Linked DNA regions of Neodiprion lecontei. The protein of the gene in region 2 interacts with the protein of the main gene of each other region in a pairwise test. Links are inferred from orthologs where the notes say so. Each region holds a gene or a part of one and is shown on either strand. Other genes may lie near its edges.

Region 1 (8,333 bases), on a different chromosome or scaffold from region 2:
TGTATAGAGAAGTACTGCGCGAGCATAAAACTGAGACAGGGGGTTTAAACAGCCGGACAGAAAGTACAATATCGTCAGAATCTTCAACGTTTCATGATGACTCATCTTGCAAATTAGTAACAGTGAAAATCCGTTGTTTTCCCAAAGACAAGGAGGACGAAATAGCAAAGGAAAATCACCACAACTACGTTATACCGGCAAAGAAAACTGGCTCAGCTAAAACGCACACCTCTTGGGCTGAGGAGTTTCGACAAAATAGCCTCAATTCAGACAACGGATACAATACCAGCTCCTCGAGTTTGATCAATGAATCTCATCGTCACTTCGATCGGTTGAATAATATTAGCCAAAATCACAGTGCCGGCGCGTCCACAGACAGTACAAAGTATATATCGTTGGAGAAATCGAGGAGCAGAGCCACCAGATCTGAACAAAATTTGAAACAAACAAATCTCGCCCCTGCCAAATCATCCACAGGACAAAAGGCTTCAAGTTCTCGCAGTGCTCCAGTTATGTCTGAAAATTGCAAACGCAGTCAAACTACCGAAGTTCATGCCAATCCACCGCCATCGAGAAGCTCCATTCAATCAAGACCAAAATCATGTGAGGAGCGAATTATTTCACCTCGATCAAAAAGTTAAATTGCATTGGTAGAATTTTGGATAATTCTTATTTCGCTGTATCTTGATCATAATTTAGATTTTTTTTTTATCCAGTTATAAGGCCCTGGAGACTTCAGCCAGAGTCCCATAGATCCTGCACGAATACAAAGTCTGATCCAGTCGCGCTGTATCAAAAGTACAAAGAAGAATGGAAGCAGCTTGCTCTGCCTGGAGAGGAGAATCATGCTGGAGTCAGGTGGGCGGTAAGGGAAAAAATGCTTGGACTGGATCCAAATCCACGGGTAAGTAACTCCTAATTTGTTTGCCCTTACTCCTTTTTTCTAAGTCTTTTTTAGTACAGAATCATGAGTGAATTGAGGTAAAATATCCATGGTGTTCATTTAATATTTCTGCATTACTTGGATTTCAGCAAAATAACATGATGTGCAAAATAAGTGCAAATTTTAGAGATAATTGGTACGATTCTCTGAATATTTTGGATTGTAAGGAACGTAAGATATACCGAAGAAAGGAAAGAAAAATTAAGAAACAATTTTTAAACGATTGTGTCAGGCATAATGCAAATCTGAGTTCTGACTTGGATAGAAGACAGAATTCTTTGAAAAGTGTTTCTGAATCAGTTTTAGCACGCTCAACAAATTTCAAATTGCCATGTAATTTCAATACTACTCATAGCTCGCAATCAATTCTCACTTTACCCGATGCCTTTAAAAGACATCGACTACATGGTATAAAAATTGAAGAAAAATACAGAACTGAATCTTTGTCATGTCGCGTATTCTGCAGTGATAAATCCAATTCTAAATTTAAGGAAGTTTATTCACAAGAGACCAGTGCAAAGCAAACACTTAGAAGGCTCATTGGCAACATCTTAGGAAAAGATATAAACCTATACGCTGAGAATTATAAGTATATGAAGAAATGCTGCTGTGTTTCCCAACCCAGATTTTCACAATCATAATTTCGTCTTAAAAATAAACGAAACATTTTTTCGAACCTTGTACAAGATTTGTAATGCGTGTACACGGAATTTGTGTAATAAAACATTTTGCAATTTCGTAACAATCGTGTAATGAAAATTATCGTTTTTTTTCAGCCGATATTGAAAAAAAGCTGCAGCACGTCGGCAATAAAAAAGAGATGATTAATTACCATGATTCTTTGTTATAATTAAACGCGTTAATCATTATTAATAATTATATGAATTTGGACATAAACACACTCGTTATTGTAAAAATGATGATATCGTGTATTATACTAAATAATTATTCAACTATATTGCAACGATTTTATTAAACTGATGAATATGTGATGCCTGTCGAAAGAACGAAATCCTTAACGGAAAGAATGTCATTATTTTGGAAAAGATATTTTAATCAATTTATAAATATGTAAAACGTAGATGTAAGTTTAGCCTTAAACAAAGTGATGATTAATTCAGAATTGTGATTGTAACCACGCAGATCTATTTAGTAAAAAAAAAAGGCTACAAAATAAAAATGAACAGTGTCATGTAATTTTTCTCAGACAACAACTGCCTCCTTTATTCTCTAAGAAATAATTTTATACACAATTTAAACACTAATTATTTTTAAATAGCCTCACTGTTGATTGAGTCGGAACTTCTTTGTCACCTCCCGATCATTCATTCTGTTCAACTGCAGGAGTATTTTGCTTTCTATCTCTCGAGCAGCATTTTCTGTGAGAACTAACGTGTCGTGCTTCAGCATACTGTAAACGTTCAAGCCTGGAAAAGAAGAAATAACAGAAGACCGAACTTTTGTGCACATAATATGGATATCTGTAAGCGATGTCTCGCGCTTCAAAGGGACATGGATTAAACTATCTAAAGGAAATTTTTACCATAGACTGGCATGAGATTAAAATGCTTGATCTCATCAGTCGCCAGGGTGATGTTCTTCGGCATAATGTCTGGTACGTCCACGAATAATACGGACGGTCCCCAATTTCTTTGGTAAACCAGATCCTCAATGTACCCAGGCTCTGTCGTTGGAATTTCTAAATCATTCACAATGTGCAGATCGTCCTGGCCGAACTTTACTGTCAATGCCGAAGTGAGGCCTAAGACTCTGGTGTAGAAGGGGAGCATGTAAAAATGCGTTGTTGGTGACCGTGGGCCATGGGCAACGCCGCCACCACGCCATAAGGGGGAACGTATACTCCCGTGTCGAGCGCGACCCAAGCCTTTTTGTTGCCAGGGCTTTCGTCCGCCTCCCCTTACCTCAGCTCTCGTCTTCGTGTGAGCGTAACACTAAAATCCGAGTAAAAAAAATTTAATTCATATTCAAAGGGTAGCGTGAATATAAGAAAAGACATTGCTTTGAAAGCAGTAATTCAACTTACGACAAATTTGTACATCCTCTGCCATCTCACGTTTTGGTGTAAAATATCAATGCGAGGATGAGCCCCGAACACTTCTGGATGCAGCATCATCAGACCGAGCTTCTTTTCCTCAATCGTGTCCAAATTTTCTAGCCATACTTGCTTCGGCTTTTCGTAAAATCGCCCCTGCTGTATCGCCTCGCTTATCGAAATAATTGGCTCCGTTTCTATTGCATCGTTGTTTTCAGTCACCAGAGAACTGAACCTCGCGATTCGACCCACCGAACATCCCTCAAGTTTTGTTAAAATGCTTCGTAAGAGGAACGACATTTTTGGTACTTTAACCTAACCTAACCTCATTCACCAAACACGAAACGTAACCTCAAATTATCGAAAAATAGCCTAACATAACGTAACTTTAAACGGTCTAAACAGATGTTTCTGGGTGAGATCGTGCTGTCTGTAACATGCAAAATACAGAAATCGACAAAGTGTTGCCAAATTCACTTTCCACAAACGAGAAATATAAAAACGGAAATGATAATCCGCCGGTCGAAGGATACTGAACGCAAACTTCACCCAACTTTGAGCACTTGCACGCCAAAAACCGATCACAAAAATTCACCCAGGGATATCCGTCTTTATATTCTTCAGTCAACGGTATAGTACAGTATAGGCTGCATGTCTTTTACGTTAATTTTCTGGGACAATTCAACACTAAATGTAATTTCATTGGCCTGATCTAACAGAATAGGCCAACGAAACCACTTAATATCGTACAACTCAGAAAATTGACGCAAAAGCAAACTGACTGTACCGGCTGATGTGACGTACAGGTTGTAAACAAATGACTGCGTACGCGTAGGAAATAGAAAATTGCATTTTATTAATGAACAATTATTCGCTTGTACTATGTTCGGAGAAAAAGCATTGGAGCTCATAAAGGAACTCGAACGTTCCGCTGAGGGCATCCCGCCGTTTAACGTGAGTAACAGGTCTTGAGTTCCGTAAAAATCATGTAAACATTGGTTCAGGTTATGAAAATACGCGCTATACATTTGCTTGTATTCTAGGATGACGGTATCCGGCAGGTTTTAGAAGAAATGCGAATTCTTTGTCAAGCTAATTTCGATGATATGTTGGTATTTGTTTTATTTACTTCGCCGATAATATACGTCATTTCTGTTATTATTAATCATTTTTATTACCGTCATGGTCAGGATGTTCAATCATGAGAAATTTTCACAGCAACTTAATAGTGTTCCTGGAAATAACGTCAGGGTTTATTCAAAACTTAGTCATCGACTACAGAAAGATCGTCCTAATTTGGCATGAGTCGCTAAATCATAAATTAAATTCTACAAATTTTATCCATTATGAAAACCTTATTCCGAAGTGATTACTACTGAAACTTTTGCTTAAAAAATCTGAAATTGGTTTGGAAATCATAATTAGTCTGAAAGTAAACTGAACACTTACTCAGCTGTGCAGTAATTCTTAATAGTTTGGAATGCCTGTACATTTATTAGCAGGAAAAACTACTAACCACTATTATTTGTCGCAGAGAAAATCCAACAACGGATCCACCAAACTATTCTTCCGTGCGAGTTCGTCACATGGCAATAAGCAGGAACAAGAGATGCATTTTGGCATATCTGTACAACAGGCTGCAGAAAATAAGGCAGATGCGGTGGGAATTTGGCAGTATTTTACCACCTGAAATAAAATCCTTGCTTTCCGAACCAGAAGTACAGTGGTTCACATCATACAGCAAAGCTTTAGCCACTTATATGAGATCCATTGGCGATAATTACGGGCTGAATTTAGCCACTGACGTTACACCTCCAAAGTCGCTTTACATTGAGGTAACAGAGTTTTGAATTTTAAATCCTTTGTGTACACAAAAGTAAATTGCGTAAACCTGTGTTGAATTGGAGATGGATAATCGATTAATTGGGGAGATAATTGATGATAACCGCTAAGTCTTTTCTGACATTCTGCAATTACGATGTTCTAGATAATCCTTGGGAGTTTTATTTATTCAAGGTTATCGTAGCATAGAACTTTCAGAGTCACAGTCATGACTTGCCAAATATTGTGCAAGACCATTGTTGGTTGTTTTCTCTTCCTATCGTCAAGGTGACTTTTGCGGAATTGCAGGTACGATGTTTAGTTGATTATGGAAAATTGGATCTGGAGGATGGGGAGGTGATATTCCTAAAGAAAAATAGCCAGTACTTATTGCCACGCGCTGAGTGTGAAGGTCTGGTGAGGCAAGGTGTATTGCAGCACGTGACTTCGTGAATTTCCGAATTGCCTCACATTCGCCAGAAACCTAAATTATACAATATTTCGCAAGAGTTTGATTTTATTTTTTATACTTATTCCAACGTGAATAAATCGCTTGGAGCTGTAATTTATAAAGTTTAAGTAAATGTTCTTTCATTCCGTATGATGATGGTTTATAAAAATCTTCTGTCTCCCGTGATAGCAAATTCATCCTTGTAAGTCTCCATATATATATATCTATAAGTACCAGAGGACTTATAGTAATAATACGATGACAAATATTCTCATGAGCTTTTAAAATTAAGTTTTTATATTTTGTACACTCATTATTTACATTGCATTATCCCGTCGAATTTTTTACCCGATTTTCAGTGCAACTAAGTACAGAATATTCTTAGGAAAACAATACACGAATATAAATTATTCATTACGCGTTTGTAATCTGTGTTGAAAGCGACAGATTTAATCTTGAACATTCGTTCACGAACCGGACAAATTGTAGTTGCCCAAAACGAATATTTACGATTCTCGTAGTTCCTATTTCTCGAACAGGCCTTGAAATAGGTTTCAATAAATCTTCAATTACGCTGCGCCTTATTTATCGCTGTGGCCATTACTCTGCTGTCAGAAGCTGCGCAAAGCGATTGTATATAAGAAGAAACAAAATCGAAATATATACCCGACCTTGAATTTTGAAACGTCTTGCGAGAGCCGTAAAATGCACTTTAGATCGACTCACAGACTGCGTCGAACTGCACGGATAAATCCGTATCCGATCGCATTTCGCACGGGAAAGGAAATTCGCTTGAAAAACTGTCAGGTATTAAAGTAAGTCATGCATATATACATATACAGAGTGAATTGCTAACAACCGAATAGTTTAGTGCGCATGCGCTGAAATTCGAGAGCACGAGCAATTGTTTTGTCAGGGTGACCAACATTTTTCAGGTTATATCGTGAGTTACATACATAAGGGTGATCTATCATCTAAATTTATAAATGTTGGTCGCCCTGACAAAACAACTGCTCTTGCTCTTGAATTTTAGCGCATGCGCATTAAAACGTCTAGTAGTTAGCAGTTCACTCTGTATGCAATACATTTTCCGATTACGATTCAATTATTCAAATTCTGTCAAAATTTTTTACCCTATATTCGTTACTCTTCGCCTAAATATCTCGATTCGCAGCTGTTCGATTTATGCAACCGATTCTCTTTCTCCGTCTAAAATACGTCGTAACTCGAGGAAATATACAGAAATTCGCTGGGCGACTGGATAGTGACAAAGGGAGAAAAGGAGGTAGGCAGGTAAGAAAGAGACTTTGACTGCAGCGCAGGCTCGAAAGTGCATCGACCAGGCTGCATTAAATTTGAAAAGGGCCCCTTCCGGCGGGGGTGCGAAAGACTGGAGGGTCCCCTCACCGGGGGTACGGTCTCTTGGTATTTCCCAGCCAACTGAAGCCACAGCAGGAATTTCCTACCCGGTAAATTCTTCCCACCGTTGTTCGAACGGTTCGTCGGCTTTAGAGTGATGCCGGGGCTACGTGGTCGCCCAATAGGTGCGTACATAGCGGGCACAAGGAAATGGCATATGTGCTGCAGACCAGTAAAGAATGGAGTCGAATAGCTCGGGGAAGGTCCAGTCGCTGTCGCATTCGTTGGCGAGACAGCAGGGAAGCGTTTCTTTCCGCAGCCTTCGTCGCTGACAATTCTCAGATTTCGCTGGTGCAGCGAATCTTTACGAATACGCCCGGTCCTGTAACATATCGTGAATAATTAAATCAATTTTACGGAAAAAAGTGACTCGATCCGATTTAATTTTTCAAACTACACCGTTTACCGATACACGTGTCTTTTCAAAACAACTTCCGCGTATAACCACGTGCAATATGGTTGTTGATAGTTGTGTGAAATGCCAGATTCAATTCTGAAATCTACAGGAGGACTCAAAATTCACAGTGTTTCAGTTGGTGAGAATCTTTCTGTCTATGATTGTACTTTTTTATTACAATGTATTATATGTATGTGTATGAGGGTACGTCAGTTGGTTTACATTTCAATTCTGTGAAATTAATATGCTATGAAACATTTCATTGTTGCAGTGGTAACCGCAAAGATTACAAAAATTTTTATCATTCTTTTATCACATGGCTTTAAGATACGATAAACAAATATATTTGCTGGTTCTACTTCCTTAATTTCTCGTTGTCATAACGGCGACAATGAATAGATTTTTTTTCTGTTAATACGCGCTTATCTGTACTACTGTCCTTTTGTCTCAAAAAATAAAAGCAATTTGTCTATATGGAACAAGAATGAATGTATGCGTGTAAGTTTTGATCCAGAGTCATTATTTTAAGCTGTATGTAGGTATCAGTTAGTGTAGCTCGTTTAAAAAATTTTTTTCAAGGTGCTACTCAAAACCTTTATAATAAATATTGAAAAAAAACTGTCGCAAAATCTGGAGGAGGTTTAGAGTTTAGGTTTAGAGTTCAAAGCAACTGCAAAATGGGATCTTATGATTTGGGGACTCGCCAAGTGTGATAAGATCATCGATATAATACATATTTTACGATTTTCTAAATCTTGAAAGATATTTTTCAACACGCCATTTTATTACCTCTCTGAACTCTGCTGTAGCTTATGACTTGTATAATGACTGTAAAAAACATAGAAATAAACGATGAGAGATAATTTCAAATGGAAAACCAGCAATGGTTATTTACCGCACGGGGACTTTAAACTAATCTGCCAATTGTAAAAAATTTCGCAGACTTTATCGAGAAGACATTAAAGATAAATCAAAACAATTAATATCATAATATAACGCGCGAAGTTATTCGATTTTTTTCTGAGCGAAGTGGTAAACTTTGAGGAAAAAACTGCAGCTCTTTAAACGCTGTTGTTTGATTATTGTATTGCTTCACGAATAATAAAATTCGCGATAAAGCGTAAATATGTGCAGATCGAGGAATACGTTACGCGGAAAAACCCCGGGCTTATCAAATAATCCAAAAATTCCCCGACATCATAGAACATGCAGACCTTTCCAGTTCAATTGACATGCATGCTTAAGCTGT
Region 2 (8,192 bases):
CAGAGGCCTGCAGATAATCTTCGTGTGAGTAATACGTGGGATTATTCAAGAACTGTCTACCTTCACAATAACATTATACCGATCCAGAGCAATGGCAGTCATAGTCCAGATAGATGCGCATCCACACAGTGATCCAACCATTGCGTAAATGTCGCACATCAGAGTTCCTGGAAGGATTGGAATCTTCAGGACTAACTTCTTTGTTGAAAATGCTTCACTTACCAAGCACCCAAGTTTCGTAATAACAGTTAATAACCATTGGTGGGGACATTATGATCATCATGAGGAAGTCCGAAAAGGCTAGATTAACGACGAGTAGATTGCTTGGAGTCCTTAACGAGGGTGTCAGCATGAACACGTACACCACGACGCCATTACCGCTCCAACCCAATACCCCCAGGACGATCATCACAAGACCAAGTATTTTGTGCCACAACGGATCCATGGGAGGAAATTGGTACCTATAAAAGTGTATCTGTATTTTTGCTTTGTAGTTTGTACTTTTCAAATTTAGGTATAAAATTTCCGTGTTACATTTCAAATATATAACTCAATTTCATCACGGACTATAAATTAATTGATTCTGTGTGACAATTTTTTTTCATTATGGAGTTTGCTAGTCCAGCAGAAGGTTTTCAGTGATTACTGCTCCATCATTCCCCGACCAAGATTTGAATCTTGAGTGTAAAGACAAAAAAGATTTGGCACAAATTTCGACTGTTGCTAGGGGGTTTGTGTGGGAATTTCATTTATGCTTACGCAGCCTGCATAGTATTTACCAATGTGGATCAATTAGATGAAGCATTTCAGGTGGGACTTTGTCGGCAACCGTTTGATTATTGAACCGCATCCATTGTCGGGCAACCTGTGGACCCATGGTGGATATGACCTCAAAAGCTGCTCTCCCAGCTGTGAACTCTGATACGTTTCGAACATTATCCAACGACATGGGATTGAAAATATTCTGCGAATCAGAGGATATTGCTGCTTCCATCTGAGGGCAGACACACATCTACGGATCAATTGTCGCACAGCGTTTATTGTTAATTATGTTTTCATTAAGCAGATAATTTTAATTCACCCACACAGAAACACCCACACATACGCAAAAGTCAGTATATAATAATTTTTTTCATTTTCCCGTAAGCACTTACTTTCGATGTTATTGCGTCTGCAGAGTTCGTTTAATGACAATACAACAGGAAATATTTTTCCTCTGGTAGTTGGACGGTGACTGCGGTATAACGTAGAACATTGGTGCATCAAATATTCGCCATTACTGCAGCGGCTGTGTAAATCTGATCTTCTATATATATTGAGAGTAAGAAGACCTTCCTTGATCAATTATTCAAATATATTCATCTATACTTCAACTGGAGACTCGTATATGTATGGCAATTTATTGTACAAGCGAACACAAAGGTAATACTTTAGGTAGTTTCAACTGGCTTCTTGAGACAGCTAGTTGAACAATAAATTAACTGATAATGACAGCTGTCATATTTCAAATAGGTATTGTACATTTTAAATTGAATTAGCTTTACCACATATGAGTGTATGGATTCAAGGGCATGATTACTTTGAATTACTTTCTCAATTTTTTACCAGCAGAGTTTTACCGTCGTAGGACCAAAAAAATTTGAGACGAGAGCATTTATCTAGTAAATAACGTCACTCAATTAAACCGCAAAAATGATGTTTTTGTGAGATATAAGAGAGTTTTGCGATTCAACGTATTATTTGTTCAATATTTTATATGAAATTTAATGCAGTGTTTTTATTAAAACGTACTTAATGAAATAACATTGAATTCAAATACAAGTGCAGAAGAAATTGGTAAAACGGGCTCTCTACGTGTAACGATTAGTGCGAAATACATTACAAATTACATTGGCGTTTCATGATTACAAAAAGATAAAATACAAATTATATATGTGTATGTAGAGCGGAATGTTTAGAGGGATGGCGGGTGTGCTGGACTGAATGGGTGCGAACCATGGTGCGAACGATCGGCAGATGAGTTCGAACGACTGATTCCAAAGATGTGAGAACGGTGATAATGTGTGAGCGAGCGGGTGAAAGAAAAGAGAATGGAAGAAGGAGGCAGTCGGGAAAAGCAGTCTAGTGTGTGTGAGCATCAAGGTGTGTGAAATGTAAATCATTGAGAACCTTTCGAATGTTTATTTGTACTATGTAAATAGATAAATGAACAAATCGAATGTAAGAAAGGGAACTGGGTTTGTTGAGCATTGGGCATAAGGTGGTCGTTATTGCGATGTCGAACAGGAATAAACTATCAATTACAATTGTGAAAATTACCTAATATCTCTATTCGATCTCGTATTACAATTTGTTAGTATAACTTTCGTTAAAGTCTTAATCACCGTATTTTGAATAAAAAATTTCTCGTTGCGGGTATCTACAAAAATATACGGGCGTGTACAAAGTATATGTATGTGTGTACCACATACTCATATACTAAAATATTTTGTATTTTACTTTGTTCTCATTAGAAAATGAAAACGTAATTTGTATTTCATTGTTGCCTCAATCACAAATTGCAATTGCAATCGTTGAGTAATTACGATTTTGTTCATTAGCGACTGCCCCACTTTGTGCCGATTACCTCTATAATTAATAATCGAACACCAGGGACTATTCACTAATTCCCCCCCAAAAAGATTAAAGACATGGTTTGATATTTTGTTCAATTTATTGTTTGTACAAAATTCTCGAGATTTATATGCTTCGTAATTATTCCGTAACAATATAACAGGTATCGCAAGTAGTCCCTCTAAAAATATCATTTTTACAATTGAATTATATAAGGCACAATTGATGATTAGAATATTACAAATTAGAACTTACAAATTAAACTAAAGCTTCGCTAAGAAGTTGAACAGTTAAAAGACAGGTTTTGGATTTTCTGAAGCTGGAATATTTAGGTTTCACTTATAGTTTTGTGAGATGGATATAGGAGCCTAAAGTATTTCAAGCTTTCAACCATTTCTGTTCATTTTTAATCATTGTTTACGGACTGTATCAATGTATTGGCATAATTGTTCAAAACATAAGTACTTAGGACTGTATTTTCATGATACAGCCGAGGTAATGGAAATATTCGAATACAAATGAACAAATACATTGAATTAATAAAATGCATCTATTTAATCTAATTGGAAGAACACAACGTTACTTCAACAACTAAAAAAATACAACGATTTTAATATATCGTATATCTTTATGGTCAACTGTATTGTGAATCTGATACCATATTACTATATAGCAGAAACAACCTAGCAGAAACTATTATTGGAAAATCTATTTTCAAATAACAAACACTGTGATTACTTGAAAATTATAGAAACCGTGATTTTTATTCACCTTAAGGATGATACGAAATTTTACCCTAACAAAATAGTCGATGGTTAAACTTCTGAAGTTTTAACTCATACTGTAGTGACTTTGTTCTACTTTATTCTACGGAGACATTGAATTCACAAAACCTATGTTCAAAACATTAATTGTGCTGTTGAAATTATTATTTGATAATTTTTGTTTTCGGTATTGTTATAACTAGATTATCGATCATTTTCAACTTGAAGTCAAACAAGATGTGTTACGTGACATCTATATCAATTGAACTGCTCCTTCTTTCACTAAGCTTGCGATTGGCTGGTATTGAATAAGGCGCTGTGCACCAGCCGTCAAATCTATTTCATCATTTGTCGTTCCAGGCACGATGATTCCTTGCACAGGTTTGTTGACTCGCAAAAAGACATGGCTGTTCAAGTTGGGTTTAACAGTCAGTTTATCAACTTCGAATGCTTGAAAATTAGCAGGCATGTGTTGAAGCGCAACTGTTCTGAAAAGTGTTTCAATATTGGCTAAATATTCTTTAGCAAACTTGCGTTCGCCTGGAGTTAGGTAAGATTCTTCCGGACTCTTTTTGTCATCTTCTGACAGAATGTGTATGGTGTATTGTTCAATTTTTTCTAACCTCGTTCGCAGGTAACTCTTTATAACGAATCGTATTCTATCGATTTCCATCTTATGAATAGCTAGCCTGATGTCACCCTTTTTCAATTTTTTCATGTTCTCTTCCATGTGAGAAATTTGTTCGAGCATACAATCAACGAGTTCTGATTGATGAGGTAATATCTCTGGTGCAAATTTCTCGTTCAACCAAGCATTTTCAATGTCTTGCAATACTTTGCCGGGCGTGAATTCTTCATTGTCGCTAGAGTCCAAGTGCTCTGAAACATCCGCTACGCTATCGTCCATTGCAAGACAGAGTGACAACGGTTCTCGGGACCGAATGTGAATAATGCGTGGAATAATGTTTACAAAAACATGAACATGTCAAATCTTACTGAGACGAGATGTCACCAATTGACTATGCCATACACGACCGCAAACTATAGGAAGAGTAGATCCTCTTCTGCTTCGGGGCCATCTCCACGATGACTTTGGGAATGCGTTCCAATGCGTTCCGAAATCAATCTTCAGTGCCGTGATCAGCCATCTTTAATCTCTTTTTCACTAATTTGCCTCTACTTTACGAACACTTTCTAGTCCTCCTTACCTCTACCCGCCATATCTTTTGAGCTAATGACTAGTTCTGTCTGTACATCTCTGGGTATATTCCGCCAAGGAACTGTGGCAGTCCAGTAATATCATATTTTGAATTTTCTAACTCGCGGTTGGTGGTATTTACTGGTCATTTACTGCCAAAGCGTTCCACCAATTGACAATTATTGTTTGAAAATGTTATCTTCATAATAAACAATCAATACAGCATTAATAGCGTGCATGTATATTTCTATTCAAACCCTATTTACACCTTCAAATAATGTAACCTGCATAATCGAGAATTGCTCTAAAATTATTTTATGAGCCATCAACAATTTGTATTTCAAACATTTCTTTACATTCGCGCTGATGTATACGAATTTATATTTTAAATACAGTACGCAAAGGGATCAACAATGATCGCTGCCCGTAGTGGGAGATGTGTTTGCTATAAAAAATAAAATAGTTTTTATGAATATGTAAAAGGTTTCTTCCCAGCAAACTATAGTTCATTTTATGAGAATCATACAATTTTCACTACTATCAACACTGCTGTTTATAAACGAATATTTACCATTGTCAGAATAATGATTTTTTCAAATGAGAACGTGATGATTTTTCACAAATCGTGAACTATTTCATTTTTCTGAAAAAATGTTGGATTTCAAATCGATGGTGATATTTGTCATGGAAAACTTGTAGATTTGTACAAAGTAAAAAGTATAGTTGCCTCATCGATAGCTACACTTCTCCGAGAGAGGGATAAGTTTCCGCGAAACCAATCCAAAGTTTCCATTGAAAAATTAAGGTATTTCACAGTGTCGTATAGCAAGTAACGGAGACTGAGCTAATTTATTTATCATGATTCCAGATTCCTATATCTATATGATTCTTTATATATATACATATATTCTATTTCAATGGTGAACATCAGGTTTTTGAAAAATATACCTATAGCCAAAAAAATTATACACAAAATCATTATCGTAAACGTTCACTATATCTCTTTTACAACTCAGGTATCGAGAGAATCAGTCCGAAGGTCTATAGCACATCGCATAAAAACTTAACGATATGCAAGATTAAGGATCCGCTATTAGTCAATTACCTTAAAAGGATTTAAAATCAATTTGATCCACCGATCACTGAGAACCATTTCAGCGATATTTGAGTATATCAGCTTAGAATCACTTAGATGTAATTAAAGCGACAAAGATTCTACGAGCTGTCATGACGTTGTTGTAAACAGCCTGATAGCGATTAGGAGATACTGCATCTAGTCCATTTTAAAGATTATGAATCACTAGACTAGAGGCCTATACTGGTAACCGCCTCAAGTATGTACGGTTATCGTAATCTTTAGTCGATCAGTGTGTCAGGTATAACTGTAAAAAAATATAATTCCAGCGTATTTGAAAATACGTACTGTCAACATCGATTCATTTTAGTACTGACCGAAGGTGAATCCGGTTACAGAATATATGTGTCTTAATATTTAAGTGTAAAACAGTTGTTGCAGTGTGTCAGTATTCAGGTAGTCGATTTTTACGAGTTTCCCCGTGTCTTCGTCTATACATAAGAGATGTCGAAGTATGGCTACAACAGTTTGCCTACCGGGGAACCGGATCCTGACGATGAAATGCGAGTTGCGTTGCCTCCGTTAATGGTCACGTTGGCTGTACCGTCAACTCCAAACTATCCGATGTCTCCCTCGCCAATGGGGTCATCGGAAACGCTTCCAGAACATCAAAATGCCAAACGGAGAATGGATCGCCGTCTTATGCGTCTGAATACGGAACTCCTTCAAGCGGTTGTTGACGGAAATTTGGCGGAGGTTGAACGGTCCGGTATATGTTAATTTTGGTTCCGCTATTTCGAATTTATCTTGAAATTACGCAGCCTTCCTCGGCAAACGAAGAAAAAATAAAAAGTATTGAACCGGGTTTATTTTAATGCCGTTAGCTACTAATCCAAAATTTTCAAAAAGACGTATTGCGTTGTGCGAAAATCCATCCGAATTGATTGTTCTATTGTTTGAATATGTGTCTACAGCTGCAGGTTCTTCATACTTTCTTATGTTTGAATTGTACCGCAATTTCAATTTGATCCAATGTGTAACGCACAGTTTCGTTTCTATCCATAATTCCTATTCGATTCATTTGAAAAAAATTGAAATTAATCTGGAACAAAGTCAATACGCCTCAAACAATTCAATTTCTATTCAGTTGTTTCTGTTCGAATCCTATAACGATTTGAATTCGTGTAAATCTGTCAATGGTGAGTGGGTACCTTTTCGCCTCAGAGTATTTTCCACAGAAACGTATAACCCACGATTTTATTCGATACAGCATTATTCGACACGTACTTATAGTACGCGAGTATTATACTAAACAGAGTTATTTTACTCGGGTGTTATTTAACAGTAATTCTTGTACTGAGCCGTCCTAGTAGATGTGATCGCATGGACGTATTTCAAAACGTTCTAGTTGTACCTTGGAATATAATTTTCTAAACACTTCGAATTACACTCAATATTATAATTAATTGATTTTAAACATTTTAATAATTCCTATCAATCCCTTGTAATCGCTAGCCACTTATCCCTATAGGAAGATTCAGCTAGACATCCAAACAGTAATTTTGGGACCAAAAAAACAGATTCAGCCGGTTTCAAATTTTCTATTCTTTTCTATTATTTAAAATTTTTTCCAATTGCTGGGCTGTTTATTCGGTTCAGTGATCACACTGTAATGGAGGGGATCATCATTAATACTCGAAATACTTTGCACGTAAACTTCCCATGTTGATACACATTTATCGCTGTCAGTAAATTATCTCGATGATTGATCATCTCTTTGGTTTTGTTTGTGACCCAATTCTCATAAATCGGGTAGAATGTATGCAACTCTCTTTCTTTTTTCTATCTTTTGCATTGTGCATTTTCTGATGTAACTTAAAATTCATAATTTTTAGTGGTCTCCAGCATGATGCCAGTGCAAACGCGACATGCAAGCCACATCGGATTTCGAGTTGTCACATAGCGAGCTTTTTAGGACATACCGATATTTTGCGAACTCTGCTCAAGAATGGTGCTCAACTAGAAGGAACGCGTGACGCAATGGGACGAACACCTTTGCATCTCGCCGCTTGGGAAGGCAATCCGGATTGTGTAAAGCTTCTTCTCGATCATGCCCCAGAACTGGTAAACATAGCAACAGAAAAAATCGAAATAAAAGACAAAATTCGGTTAGAGTGGATCGACTCTTGGGATCACGATCATCAGTCGGTGATTGACATGGTGAGTAGTTTTCGATAAACACGTCCAAACAGTACAGTTCGTCAGAGCTTTAGGCATACCGTTTTCAAAACATGGTAGTGTGATAATCTCAATTTTTAGCTACCGGTCTTAGAATTCGGGAGTTCACCTCTTCACGTAGCTTGTAAACGGACAGAGATGATCTGTGTGCAACATCTTCTGGCGGCTGGAGCTGAGTTCAATAAAGTTGACAGTCGAGGGATGAGGCCACTTGATGTAGTAGGCGAAAATTTAATCGACCACCGTGAAGAGGGCGACGTGGAATTCAGGTAGGTATATAACGCATTGATTTTGACTTGTGTAT

The links.
Region 1: the proteins of DNA replication complex GINS protein SLD5 (region 2) and DNA replication complex GINS protein PSF1 interact in a two-hybrid assay, tested with the Drosophila melanogaster proteins (2 studies listed by BioGRID). The link is inferred for Neodiprion lecontei from reciprocal best matches to the Drosophila melanogaster genes Sld5 and Psf1.

Annotation. Positions count from the first base shown.
Region 1 is NC_060262.1:38,199,850-38,208,182, reverse strand, and holds DNA replication complex GINS protein PSF1, read left to right. Parts: upstream 1-3,653; 5' UTR 3,654-3,878; coding exon 3,879-3,950; intron 3,951-4,039; coding exon 4,040-4,104; intron 4,105-4,530; coding exon 4,531-4,831; intron 4,832-5,126; coding exon 5,127-5,270; 3' UTR 5,271-5,418; downstream 5,419-8,333. Other genes in the region: uncharacterized protein LOC107226463, read left to right, coding at 1-636, 717-904, 1,720-1,767; 39S ribosomal protein L4, mitochondrial, read right to left, coding at 2,225-2,370, 2,487-2,895, 2,988-3,296; NF-kappa-B inhibitor cactus, read left to right, coding at 7,166-7,223.
Region 2 is NC_060261.1:11,939,295-11,947,486, reverse strand, and holds DNA replication complex GINS protein SLD5, read right to left. Parts: upstream 4,431-8,192; 5' UTR 4,285-4,430; coding exon 3,631-4,284; 3' UTR 2,707-3,630; downstream 1-2,706. Other genes in the region: rhodopsin, read right to left, coding at 61-167, 223-461, 780-1,012; transient receptor potential channel pyrexia-like, read left to right, coding at 6,155-6,414, 7,546-7,870, 7,970-8,157.